Linked DNA regions of Caenorhabditis elegans. The protein of the gene in region 1 interacts with the protein of each later gene in a pairwise test. Each region holds a gene or a part of one and is shown on either strand. Other genes may lie near its edges.

What was found. The genes of interacting proteins can lie anywhere in the genome.
Region 2: the proteins of nos-1 (region 1) and klp-3 interact in a two-hybrid assay, tested with the Caenorhabditis elegans proteins (one large-scale study listed by BioGRID).

Annotation. Positions count from the first base shown.
Region 1 is NC_003280.10:10,949,864-10,956,971, reverse strand, and holds nos-1 (Nanos-type domain-containing protein), read left to right. Parts: upstream 1-3,806; coding exon 3,807-3,857; intron 3,858-3,903; coding exon 3,904-4,005; intron 4,006-4,056; coding exon 4,057-4,293; intron 4,294-4,360; coding exon 4,361-4,471; intron 4,472-4,514; coding exon 4,515-4,595; intron 4,596-4,642; coding exon 4,643-4,723; intron 4,724-4,771; coding exon 4,772-4,944; intron 4,945-4,993; coding exon 4,994-5,093; 3' UTR 5,094-5,380; downstream 5,381-7,108. Other genes in the region: spe-57 (Serine/threonine specific protein phosphatases domain-containing protein), read left to right, coding at 94-202, 246-348, 395-445, 763-1,165, 1,574-1,765, 1,811-1,966, 2,027-2,118, 2,165-2,297 and 4 more; gst-5 (putative glutathione S-transferase 5), read right to left, coding at 5,409-5,899, 6,427-6,559.
Region 2 is NC_003280.10:7,839,158-7,846,153, forward strand, and holds klp-3 (Kinesin-like protein klp-3), read left to right. Parts: upstream 1-3,195; 5' UTR 3,196-3,259; coding exon 3,260-3,316; intron 3,317-3,492; coding exon 3,493-3,631; intron 3,632-4,116; coding exon 4,117-4,324; intron 4,325-4,458; coding exon 4,459-4,784; intron 4,785-4,876; coding exon 4,877-5,163; intron 5,164-5,211; coding exon 5,212-5,342; intron 5,343-5,389; coding exon 5,390-5,531; intron 5,532-5,574; coding exon 5,575-5,677; intron 5,678-5,727; coding exon 5,728-5,925; intron 5,926-5,973; coding exon 5,974-6,074; intron 6,075-6,121; coding exon 6,122-6,226; 3' UTR 6,227-6,496; downstream 6,497-6,996. Other genes in the region: Acetylcholine receptor subunit alpha-type acr-7, read right to left, coding at 6,507-6,626.

The sequences.
Region 1 (7,108 bases):
TTTATTTTAAAAAAAGGTAAATTTATTTTCCCACGGCGTCAACTTCATGATTTTCAAATTCATTCATTCCTTAAAACTACAAGAAAATCAATAATGAAATTGCTCGAAAAATGTATGGTACTACTGATCAATGCTCATTTGCTGATGGCAACAGTTGCTAAAAATACAACTACATTGGATCCTAGATATGATGAGATGAACAGTAGGTCGAAATCTGTATATATCAAATTCAAAAAAATTTTCAGACGATCTAGTGTGCTACTCAAAGTACGACAAAAGTCGTGTGGTTCGTTGCAATAGTGCGTGTGTTCAGAAGAGAATAGTTTCCAGATACAAGATTAATTCAGAGTTAGTGACTCTGAAACATATTAAAACTTAAATTTCAAAATTTCAGATACGATTTTGACTTCTACTATCGAGTTGGTTGTGAGAGCAAAAGCTTCAAGTATGTCTACATTATTCCTTTTTTCAACGTAGTGACCTTTAGAAATTGTGCTCACAGATATACCAAATATAACAAAAGAAACATGGGAAAATTAGATTATGTTCAAGAAAATTTAATGTGGGGGAAAATTGTGGAATGTGGAAGGTATTTAGGCATGCAGTAGGCGAGTAGGCAGCCTGCTAAGTAGATGTGTAGGCACGTAGGTCAACCAAGTAGTTTGAGAATCATTTTCTCGAACAAACCAAATTTGTTGTGTTCCCTTTGTTATATCTGATATTTTAGAGTTTTTCGAGAAGTTTTAAACACATTCTTTGCAGCCCTGAACTTCAAAAACTTCAATGCAGTGTGAAGGAATTTTATGGATCTGCCTACACAATAGACTACATGATAAAAGGCGACACTACTCGAAATCCGCGGCTTTTTGTTCGCAAGACGTGCTGCTTCACACCATACTGTAATGAGCCCGTTCTGTATTCGCACCGTTACTGGTTCCGAAGAAATTGGAGTATGTTGGCAATTATGAGGAATAAGTACAATTCTCAGCATCTTCTTCTTTTTGTTGTGACTTCGTTGATCGGGATATTGATGGTTTATGGTATTGTTACAAAGGTGATGAGTTGGTTCAAATCCAAACAAATGTCACAATCAGGACAGAAGTGTAGGGAGTTGGAGCACGAGCTGATTCTAGAATCCAGTTTCAAGGATAGTACTATTGTGGATGTGAGTTTTACAGATCGGATTCTTCTTTGGAGATGTTTTGGTGACGAGAGTTTATCTCTTGCGCCAAAATTGTAACAGCCTTGCCTACACAAGCTTGTTTACCTACCTCTCTCTTACCCAACTACTTTTGTCGTGCCTACCCATGCCTACCTACCTACTTGCCTATATATAATCCCGCCTCAGGCCGGAATACTTGGTTCATGATAGCCTCATGTTCGCCTAGCTTTCTCATACCTACCTACTTGCCTCGTGCCTGTCTATGCCTAACAACACGCCTGCCTATATTTTCCTGCGGCCTCAGAACTTGATTCATGCCAGCTTACCTTTCTGTCAAACTCCTTTCCTGTTTCATGTCTTTCCATGTGCCTGCAGCATATTTTGCCTCATACCTAGACTTCAATTTTTCAGACCGGCCTGGAAGTGACTGGACGCCTCACTGTCAAGGAAACTGCATATCTTTTATCACAACTTCCGGATCAAGATAAGGTCAAATATTCCCGAATGAAGTCAGTTTCAACAGAAGAATCTTCAAAATCCAAGTCTGCTCAATCACTTGCGGTAGTTGAAAGTGAGGTGGTCGCGGGATCAGGAACGAGAAGGGTAAAGGATTAACTCTAGGACAACCACCTATTTCTTCAATTTCAGGTATTCATAAAACCTCCGCTGAAAACTAAAGCAAAGGGCTGGGGACACACACTTTGGAGCACAGTTCGAACGATCAACTCACCATATGATCTTCTTTATCGAATGATTGAACATGGTCCTTATCAATATCCATTTACAGCTTTGGAGCTACTTTGTGTGAGTTTTAAAATCACAGGGCTTTAAGGTTTTGGAGAAAGTAATTTCTATAATTTCTAGTTATTCGAAGAAACTGCATTCAAAATGGCCGAGGAACCATCTCTTCTCCAGATTGAAGCAGACATCACAGTGATCGGAGATATTCGTGGAAGGTTCAGAACACTCCTGTGAATCTAGGATCTACTTCAATTTTTCCAGATACGCTGACCTGCATAGATGGCTGCAACTAACCGGATGGCCTCCTCATAATCGAATCTTGTTCCTGGGTGGAATTTTGGATAGCGGGGAGTCTGGATCGGTCGAGTGTCTTGCGTTGATTTGCTCGTTGAAGGTGGATTCTCATTAATGGCTTGTTTGAATTTCCTCCAGGAGCAGCGCCCAACCAATCATCGTCTTCGATCTTCGCACGCTCGTTCTGATTGGTTGGAGCGAAGCCAATCATTGCTGATTGGCCGTGTAGTTCTAGTTCTGTAGTTCTGTAGTTCTGTAGTCTGTAGGTCGTAGTTCTCATTGTTGAGGGAATTCAAACAGGGAGATTTGCGAGAGTTGGATAGTAGCGTTTTTGACAACAGTAACCCTACAATACTACTACAGTATCCCGACCATTTCTGGCGCCTTTTTAAAAGTTTTAGCTGGAATAAATTTATTTCTCAAATCAATAAAACATTTTTCTTCATCAAGAAACCAGCATTTTTCAGTGTCGTTTCCCGAAGCATGTCTTTATTCTCCGAGGAGAACCCGAAACATCTCCGTTCCGAATGTCGACTCGTCTTCATCCAGTCATCACAAGAGCCGTTCAATCTTGTATTAAAAGAATGTGTACACATATGCCATTTGCTGCAATTATTGGTAAATCTGTGCTCGCCGTCTACAGTGGATTTTCTCCAATGATTCGAGAGAAGGGGCACATTCATCACCTGTTCCGACCGGTTACTGCAGAGCACATGAACGCGGTCGAGCGACATATCATCTTCAATCAGCCATCGAATCGTGTCAGAATGTATAGACCGAATCCAAGTATGATTTTACTAAAAAGGATGAAATTGAATTTTTATCTGAACTTTCAGATACCGAAGGCGATTGGTTTGGGAAGCAGGCTGTCAAGAGAGCTTGCAAAGCGACGAGATGTAATGTTATGATTCGAGGTGAGAATATTGATAATTTATAATTTTCACAGTTTTTTCTAAATATTTAATTTTCTAATTAAGGACAATCCTACGTGCCATACGGCTACCTTCCGTGCTGGAACAACCGGCTCATCAACTTGTGGTCGGCTCCGGGATATGGTAATTTCAGTGTTTCTTTTTCAATATTCTCTATAATTATTTTTTCCAGGCTCAGACTTTGGAGCAATTCTCTCGATTTCCAAGGACTTGGTCATTACACCGATTTTAATGGAAAAGCAAACTTGAATTGATGAAAATTAACTAGAGATTTCGCGAATAAATGAGTTTATGGATTGTTTCGACGTTTTTTTTTTAAATTTTTTTCCCTTTTTTATCAGAGAAAATCTGTTTCGGAAATCTTTTTTGTTGATTTTTTTGATTTAGTGATGTCAACTGATCACAGTTAAAATTTTCTCACTACAGTAACCATTGCGCCTTTAAAATTCCAGGCGGGACCTGCACCGGCCCCAATTTGTTTTCTCACGCTAAAATTCTGTTTTTCAAGTTATTTTTTTGAAATTAAGGTCAATTTCCGACTGAAATTGTTTATTTTTATAATAAAAATGTTAAAGTATTAATTTTTCCAACACAAATTAAAGAATATTCACCCGTTTTCTTTATTTTACCCGTCTTTTTTCCCTTCGACTTTAATTTTAACTTCGAAATCCTACAAAATGTTGATTTTCAGGACTTCTCCGATGTCTCGGCGCGAGAAGAGCCTTCCGGTGAGTTGAAACTGATCAAATTCACCAAATAAACCCGAAATTTCAGATCGAACCAAAATATACGAAACCACAGGCCAACGGATCCTCATTTCCGCCAATCTTCACTCTGGAAGGGAGCACCCCTTGTAAAAAAACTGCTAGAAAACTGGTTGGAATGAAACCTGAATAATTCATTTTCATTTGAGATTTTTATTTTCAGATCGATCCAGTTGTAAATTCCGTCGATTCTTTGTGCTACCTTGCTCGGAAAATCGTGAAAATGCAGGAGGAAAAGAAGCGGCAGAAGAGTAACAGTTTCTTGATAGATTACCTCGTGGGCGATAACTTCATCACCGAGTTTCGAGAGCAGCCAGCTCAAGCCTCTCCAGCTGTCGATGTCGAAGATCCAATGGTTTCGCTGGTTTTGGGATGTCCGTTTGGAGCCATCGGACAGGAAGTAAGCATCTTTCTAACATCTTATTCTTTAACATTTCGGTTTTTAATAATATATATCTTCATTACAGCGCCGGATGTCTCAAGATTTTCCGTTCCAGAGAAGAAGCTTCGATATGGTTTCGAACAGGACTTCCACCTCAGAATCTTCAAGCTGTAGCAGCACTGACAATACTTACAAGGTTTTTTTAATTATTAATTTTTAAAAAACGTATTTGAATTCAGAACGCCGGAAAGTTCCTTTCACTGCAGGAATATTTGGAGCAAAACAATCTTCTGCCACCATCGACTATGCCGTTTGGAGAGGTTAGTCAATAAAAAATCAATTATTTTAAATTTTTTCTATCTTCCAGAACTCTGGATTTCACGGGTACAACCCCCAAATGAATGTACATAATAATTCTACTCGTAATGGAAATGTTGAGAATCGAGAGGTAACTAATTCCAATCAAATGATTTTCGAAAAAGTCCATTTTTTTCAGCAGCGAAACAACTCCACTTCGCCACCGAGAGGAAATCCTCCACATCCACTTTGCTGCTGCTTCTGCTTCGGAACCGCTTCCGAATTTGCGAGACTTCACACTTTGCCAGCTCCACGGAAAGATGATCGTGGACCATGGTCCGATCACTGCTCGAAGAAAAGGGGAAGAGTTGTGTAAGTTTGTTGAAATTTCCGACCTTCAACAGATATTATCATTTTTCAGATGCCCAAAACTTCGCTCAATGGTCTGTGGAATCTGTGGAGCCACTGGCGATAACGCACACACAACGAAGCATCACCTGGAGGCGTTTGGAGACGACTAATATGTATATATAATATATATTTTTCGAAAGATGTTCGTGTTATATTTTTATGCATCCACATTATATTCACATAATCTATTTACATATCCCACCATGTTTTATCCTGCCCCCCGAAAATTCACATTTATTCGCACCTCCTCGCATATTGATCTCGAAATTGTTTAATTTTCTTTTTGTTGATTTTCTTCATTTTTTGTTCTCTGTTTTCTGTTCTCCAATTCTCCAGTTGTATTATCGCTTAGCGAACACTGTTGACATGTTGATAAACTGAATTTAAAAAAAAAAAATATTTATTTGCAGATTTTATACAGCTATTTAGAATGGTGTGACTGGACGGGTCTCGATCCATTTCTTGATTTGTGGAATCGCCTGGATCTTCTCGGCATGAGCCTTGAGCTCTGGGAACTTGCTGAAATCACCTCCCTTGGCAATCAAATCAGCTGAATGTTGGGCAATAGCCAAGTCAATCCAGGTCAAAGAGTCTCCGACAAGGAATCCGGATCCCGAAGCCTTCAAGAAGTTGACCAAGAATCCGTAGAACTTTTCAAATGCTGGAAGGAAGATGTCTTTCTTCAAAGTTTCAACGTCTCCTGGACCGAATCCCATGACAGCGTAGAAATATGGACGAGCCTCACTTGAATAATCCTTGTATTGATCGGCAAGAGAGTTCACTTGAGCCTCTTCCCAGGCGGTTTTTCCGTTGAGCTTGAACTCACGAGCCAAGAAACGAGCAATCGCGTGGGATTGAGCAAGCTTCTTACCGTCGACTTCGAGGAATGGAAGTTGTCCGAATGGAGCAGCGCAGGCTGGAAAAAATAGTTTTTTAAAATATTTTTTATTCAAAAAATAATTCTCTTGGATTAAAAAAAGGAAAAGATTTTAAGCTATTTTACAAAGTTATTTTACAAAAAATTTAGCTTATGTTTGAGAAAATTATGGAAAAAGTATAGTTTTTCAAAAGAAGTGAATTCTTTAATTGGTCAAAAATGTAGAAATCGTGTCGAGACCACGAGAAGTGATTTTTTTCGCTTTTCATGTTTTTGTTCCACAAAACTGTAGATATTCCCTAATTGCAGGATTTTGAGATTTCCGGCGCTGAAATACGGTAACTATAGGTCTCGGCACGACCGAAATTTCACTGGTACCGTACCCAAAACTGCAATTCACTTAATTTTTTAATACTAACCCAAAAAATATGATTTTTTGTAGAAAAAAATCAGGAAAAAAATCATAGAAAATCGCAAAAAAAAATTTGGTTACGGTAACTGCGAATTTTAAGTCGTTTCGAGACCCAGGCGCCTTCACAATTGAGTAATAATAATTCCAAACTCACTTTCTTTCAATGCTGGCCATTGTTCCTGAGTGACTCTATTATCCTCGTATTGTTGTCCGGCATAGGCGAAAATCTGACGAGACACTTCTCCAGCGCCACGTCCATTGAAGTAGGTCAACTTGTAGGAAACCATAATGATTTTTGATTGAAGTTGTGTTTTTTTGGAAAGTGGATTGCAAACAAACAATTGTGAGGGAAATTGGAAACTTCACTCTCTATTTATACTCATTCGACCACGTCGCTTTTTGTGTCTGAACCTCTCACTTCTCTCACAATTGTCATCAAAAACGTAGGGTCGGGAAGGCTACAAACCACGAAATGGGCGGAGCCCTGAAATTGTGGTGGTCTTTCGGAAAGAGAATTCAGTGGACCAGGTGAAAAGAGGGATATTTCGAAATTGTTGGAAAAAAATCATCATGAATTTTCAAATGTCATCAAAAAATTTAATGGAAAGCTCTAGATTCTAGTTTTGTGGAATTTTTTTTTAATATTACCTAGACCTAAAGTTTTGCACAAAAAAAAATACGGTACCCGGTCTCGAAGCGACATTTTTGCTGAAAATAAGAACGGATGTGCGCCTTTAAAGAGTACTGTAGATACAAAATTTTTTGCTGTGGTCTCATTGATTTTTCACAATTTATGTGTTCTCAATTGTTTTGTTTTAGTTTTTTGTTTAATAAAT
Region 2 (6,996 bases), 3.1 Mb from region 1:
TTTTATTTGATCGATTATCAATAAATTGAAGCATATTATTTATTTGCAAATGATACTCAAAAAGATAACTTCATGCATGAGATAAACCACACCTAACTTTTTATCACTTGAACTAGTTATCCGATCGGATAAACTTATCATATCGTGAGTATATAAAGCATTCTATTATAAACACATTTTACACATTTTATTTGTTTTAGATATTTTGTATGTTTTCTTATCAAGCTATAATTTTGCTTTCACTTTTAAAAATGAAATGTACATTTTTAAAAAGTATCTCTCTTTTAAATTACTGCCAAAATGGAAGCTCTGTTTTTTTTTACATTTTAAACATAAATATTGTTGGACTTACTAAATCTTATGACGGCATTTTCAGCCATGTAATGAGTTTCCAAAAACTGATTGAAGTAGCTAATGTTCTCAGTTTCCAGGAAATTACAATATTCAGTAACTTAGTTCAGTAACTTAGTTTTTTTTCTAAAAAATCTATATTTTTAGTTTGAAAAAATCTACACAGAAGACCTGACCAATAATTTGCCGGCCACCAACTAGTAGGAAAGGTTCTTCGCAACGCCTGTTTATTTATATTATGCGTGTGCCCCTCTCCCTCTCCCTCAACCTCATACTTCACTTCTCTAATCCTCTATGAATTTATTTCTCCAGGCGGTACATATACTCATATCCTTTCTCCTTTCTGTTCATCCTTTCTGTTCATCCGATGCCTCTCTCCTTTTTTCCGATTCTCCCTGATCATCGTTTGGTGAGGTCGCCACCCTCACCGTTATTATGTACAAGTTGTATGAACATGCCCGGTTTGGGAGGTGATGGTAATCCATCCGTTTCACGGAAACTCACTTTCATTTTGTACTTTCTGTAGTTTTTCGTTGTTGTCTCTGTATTAAGCTGATGACTTTGGAAATTCAAAAAAAACTAGGGACTCAGTTTGGAGTGCATTTCAATTTGAAAAACGTCGATTTTAAGTTCTTTCATCGTTTTTCCCTATATTAGCTTTGCATCCCATTACCAAATTTTAACAAGTCATATTTTTGTTACCATTTGTTTTTTTAAGTGTCAACTAATAAAGTATGTATAATTTCTTTCTTTATAGTTTTGTTTTTAATTATTTATTGATATATCTTCGAAATAAAAATAACCTTTTAAAATGAAGTGAAAGTGTGAACTACTAATCAAAAATGAGGTATGTGTCTAGATTTCAAGAGCACGAAAGATATTGGTGAAGCAATTTTTAAAAATTATTCTAGTTCAATACCAACATTTTTCTTGATGTTCCACATTTCGAACTCTTTCCCTATCTCTCTCTCTCTCCTTCTGCGCTTAAATTCTCCAAATTCTCATGTTCTGTAATTAGCGGTCTTGTCGTGGTCATCACAATTACACGGAAAACTATTTGTTTGTGTTATGTAATGTGTATGTTCTCGCCATAAAACAAGAAATGAAACCTGAAAAACGAGCAGAAACAATTGGCTTACTGCCTATTACGTGTGTGTGTGCCCGTTCCGCGTCCCTCTCATTTCCGCCCAACTCCGCCTACTTTCGTCTCTTTTCGATCACTTTTCCGCATCATTTTGATCACTTTTACAAACACATTCATGCCCGTAGTCCACCACCATCATCGCTTAACTCTTGAAATTTCTGATTGGTCATTGAATTTTGTCTTGGAACTTCCATCATTGAACACCAATCCAATTTAGACTTTTCCTTGTATTTATATGCCTATCGCCTGAATTTCTCTGATCTAGATGCTACCCAAAACAGACTTTTTCCCATTTCGTGTCACTCCTTTTTTGTGGGTCACAACTAATAAATCATGTTGCTCGTCGGTTTCTCGGAGCACACTCCATCCTTTTCCTTCTCATCAATTCAATGTGAATCGACATGCTTCTTCTTTTTTCTTCAGATTTCTTCACTACCGTCGTCACTTTTCGTTTTTTTTTCTTTTTCAACCACTTGAAAATGTGAAAATGTGCACTAGAAGTTTATGAGCTCTTGTAACCGAACACAGGCTCGTTTGTGAAAATGTGAAATGGAATGATGTTGGAAGAAAGAAAAGAACAAATCATGAGCTCCGGGTGATGGAATTCAAACATTTTTCCACAAATCTTATTGGCTTTAGTCAGAATTCTTCGTTCGTTATTCTGTAGAGTGACCCGAGTCAGACAAGCTTAATGAAATCATCAATATTCATTATAAACAAATTGTTTTAATTTATTTAAAGATCATTCTTTATATTATCAGAAAACAAGCTCTGAGTTTTTAATAACCATTTATTCAAACCTCCAAATATTCAATAAATTGGGCTTAATTTCTGTTTCAAAATGTTTTTTAATCAACCAATATATTCTCATCAGTTGTTCTATGAAAATTCTATACATTTACAAGAATTTTGGAGCGATGGAATAAACTAGGTTATAGCAAGTTGATGATACCTTTTCCACTATTTGAAACTCGACCGTTCTGTGAATTTTCTATAAATACAAAATTAACCTCATTCATGAAAGTGCTTGACGGCAAACAAAACAGTACCGAGATCAGATCACAAATAATTTTCTCTTCCTTTTTGTTCAATGTTCTGCCATCAGTCTACATTGTATTCAATTTCATGTTTGATTTGTGCGCCTGTTTCGCTACAAGCTCTTTCTCTGTGCCCTTTCAACTTTTCATCCTCCTCATTCCTTCTTCAATTTTTATTAGTTTACCTTCTCTCACTTTTTTATGACGTGGAATCACTGTATTTGCAGAGATACTTCTTCACCTTTTTCTCCATATTCGACCAGTTCTTTCACTTCTTCTCGGTTTTTTCTTTTCTTCCCTTTTTCCGCTAATAATACCTGACCAACAATTCATTTTCGGCTTGGTCTTGTATAGAAGACCACTTGAGATACTTTTGAATGCCATTCAGTTGCTATATTTTACTTTTTTTTGTTTTTTTCCTGTTGTTTTAGTTGCTAACTAAAAGATTATCCTTTTTGATCTGGCTACGATATAGTAGACAGAAAGAGAAAGTAAAAAATCGAACGTTGTTGACATTTTGTTCACTTTTTATTTCCTTTTTCAATTTTACATACTCTTAAATATGTTGACTATCCTCTATGTTTCTAAATGAACACAAAAATTTTTGTCTCCGTTTTTTGCGTTGTTTTCCTCAACCGCTGCACCCTAGAATTACTGTTTTCCAGAAAAAATAAACGATCGACACACATAAACACAGGAGTCTCTCACTCCATTTTTGACTTTAAAAATGGATTCGCATGTCGGCGAAGTCGATATTTTCCAACAATGCAAGTATATTCATGAGGTTTGTTCTAATTTCAGTTTGTTTTTGGTTTAACTAGTGTCACTAGTTGCACAAAGTTTGAGAGAATATTTTAAGATTTTTTTTTTCTGAAATTGATTGAACCATTTTTCACTGAGTTTATTAAAAAATTGTGTACCAGAATTCTAATTCACATTCCAATTATTGTTCAATTTCAGGTGGAACTCGTAAATATGAAGTTGCAAATGCGAATTCTGGAGACACACATTGAGACAAAAGACCGACTTCTGAGAAATTTAGAAGATATTATAGACGAACAAGAGTCACGAATTGCAAATATGGAAGATTTTATTCAAGGTACGCACTGTCGTGTGTAGTGAATTTTTGTGAAGTTTTGCATGATTAAAACCCCGTATTACTTATCCGTAATCTTAGACACTTACTTGATATATTGTCATGAGTACCGTGTTTTTTAATCCCAATTTTTTGATCGTCGTGTGATTTGGCTATCTTTAGCTCAAAAGTGTTATCTTTTAATACGCATTTTTGTTTTTTCTTAAAGTAATTGTGTTGTGGTGGTCGGATTGGCATGATTTTATAGTGTTTAATCTTTATTATTTTCTACTTGGTTTTTTGGTTGACAGTGCCTTTTTTCAATTTCACATATTCTACCAAAATCATTTCAATCCGGCCGATACTGATAATATTTTTCTAACATCATTACATGTTCACTTTAATTTCGCAAGTCCAAACAAAACTTACAACAGCTTATTTCTAAACAATAATCTAGCAAACGGCTAATTGGAATGATCAGGTTATTAAATGTTGAAATTGAATTGCAGGCCGTGCCACGTCATACACAAATCGGTCAAATATGCTGAAAGGAATTTCAGTTCTTTCACTGGATTTCGGAAATCTTTCGGAAGAAAATCTACGATTGAAAAATGCGCTGAGCCAAATGCAAAAAGTGGCAAGAGTGAATGAGTTATTGGAAACTGATGAAGATTATGAAAGTGATATGACAAGCAATGAGGATCGATTTGCTTTGAGGTAACCATTTTATTGTAATGTGATTGTCTTGTGAAAATAGTTTGAACACTTGAATTTTTTGAAAAGTAGGTCAAAAATGTAGTGTAATTTATTTTCCGTTTGCAAGCCTTTGCATGTTTTCCTGTGTATTCCAGCCGTGATTCTTCATGTTCGGTTCCCAGATCAGTGAGCCCCCAACCAACGGGTGACGTCATAAAGCCATATCCTCAAATGGTTCAATCAATGAGAGAAGAAGGGCATTGGAAGAAACTTCAGAGATGTGCAGAAGAGCTGAAAACTGAAAAAGATGAATTGAAGAGACTAGCATTGGATACAAAAGATGCATTCAATGTATGTATGGCTGAAATGAGAATGATGCTCACTTCAAAGACAACTGATTTCTTCCGAGTTCTCATTGAAAGATACAAAGCAGAAATGGAAAAACGAAAGCAATTACACAATCAATTGGTTGAGTTGAATGGTAAGTTCTAAATTGATTGAAATATTCCAAGAAATCGGAATGATTGATCTTTATAACTACTTTCCAAAAAACTAAAATTTTCAATTTTTAAGGTAACATTCGTGTATTCTACCGTATCCGTCCACAACTTGCATCAGAAACTGACAATCAAAAACCAGTTGTCGTGATAGATGAAATGGATAACGGAGTTGTCCACGTGTCAAACACAACGGGAACTCGGAAAACTAGTGCTGGAGCTGACAAGGTTATTCCAACTGATTTCTCGCAAGATCAGATATTTAATGAAGTTTCTCCGATTATTACATCTTGCATTGATGGTTATAATGTATGCATATTTGCGTATGGACACACCGGAAGTGGAAAAACATACACTATGGATGTAAGTTTAATTAAATTTTCAATAGAACTTTAAATTTCCAATTTTCAGGGTCCCGTCACAATGCCTGGAATCAATCAAAGAGCTATTATGCAATTGTTCGAAACTGCGAAGGAGAGAACGGGCGATATAAAATATGATATTAAAGTTGCCATGATGGAGATATACAATGAAAAAATACGGTAAATTGACTTTTTTTTTAACCTAAAATTGCAAATTCATTTTTCAGTGATCTCTTGAACACTTCCAACACAAATTTGGCAATTCGTCAAACTGAAGAAGGGAGAAGCTCAATTCCAGGACTTGAGGAAGTTTCAGTGAACTCTGCAGAAGAAGTCACGGAAACGCTTGCTAGAGGAAGAAAGAATAAGGTGAATTTGAAACAACTTCATATTCTAAATTTTCAATTTTCAGGCTGTAGCTGCTACTGAAGCCAATATTGAATCCAGTCGTTCTCATGTTATTGTTAGAGTTTTAGTATCGGCCACAAATCTTATAACAAAAGCAACTACAGTTGGTATGTCATTTTTCAAGTGAAAAAATATTTTGAATATATGATTTATTCAGGTCGTCTGAATTTGGTAGATCTTGCTGGATCAGAGAGAGTTTCTCAAACGAATGCAACCGGTCAACTGCTAAAAGAAGCTCAAGCTATCAATAAATCTCTATCTGAACTTGGAAATGTTGTACTTGCTCTTCGCCAGAATCAAAAACATATTCCATTCAGAAATTGTCAATTGACAAGAATTCTTGAAGATAGCTTGAGTGAGTTTCATAATATATTGGGATTTCCCTTTTAAATATTATTTTCAGATGGAGACAGTAAAACTCTGGTCATTGTGCATTTATCACCAGATGCAAAGAGTTTGAATGAATCTATTAGCAGTGTTAATTTTGCTGAAAAAATCGGACAGGTATGCATTTATGCCTTATCACATTTTACAAAAATTAAATGTTTCAGGTATTCACAAAAAGTGGAACGATGAAAAGAGAACCAACACGTAGAAGTATGACTGGAATAAGCAGTGGTCAACGAAGAGAAATCCCAGCATCTCCAAGAAAATGAACCTCATAAAATATCAAATATTTCATCTCTACTTCTCCAATAATCATCTTGTCAAATCCCTGAAATACCCGCTTACTCTTTCCATTCTAGTCCATGAAAAATTTCAAAAATTCAAAATGGGTTCCAACAATTTTTTTTTTCTAAAACTGCTGACTGACCAAAAAACTTGAAATACGGTTTACTTTTTCAAATCTAAATATATCCCCCATTTTTATTATTTGCAAATTTGTTTATGTGTGAGCTTTGAAACAATAAAAATATTCATTTAATATTTTTTAGTTCAATCCAATATTTTGATAGGTGGAATTGCAACAAAAATGAAGCAACAAATTATAAAAACAATTGTGAAGATTATAAGGCAGAATCGGTCAACTGCTTGAGCTGCAAACTTCCATTCGTCCTAAAATTTGAAATAAACATTGTTTTTTTATTAGGCCTGCATGTAGGACTATTTTTTATTTGCTGGTAAGTGTGACTATAAGAGACTGGAATGGTAATAGAGGAAATAAAGTATTGAACTATAAGGTTGATCTAACTCTAAAAAGAAATGTTAATAATGTTGTCAATTGTATAAAATAACTTAAACCCTATTTTGGGGCATATATGACAATATAATACATGCATTACATTTGACCGAGTACGGTTGGCTCTCTCTATCTATCTCGTTGTCCAGACCAGACTCATTTTTTCCGCGAAGTACTCTATGCCTCTTCCCTCTCTAAAAGAGACTCAGACAGTCCAAACAGAAGGACATTCTCTTCCACGGCCAC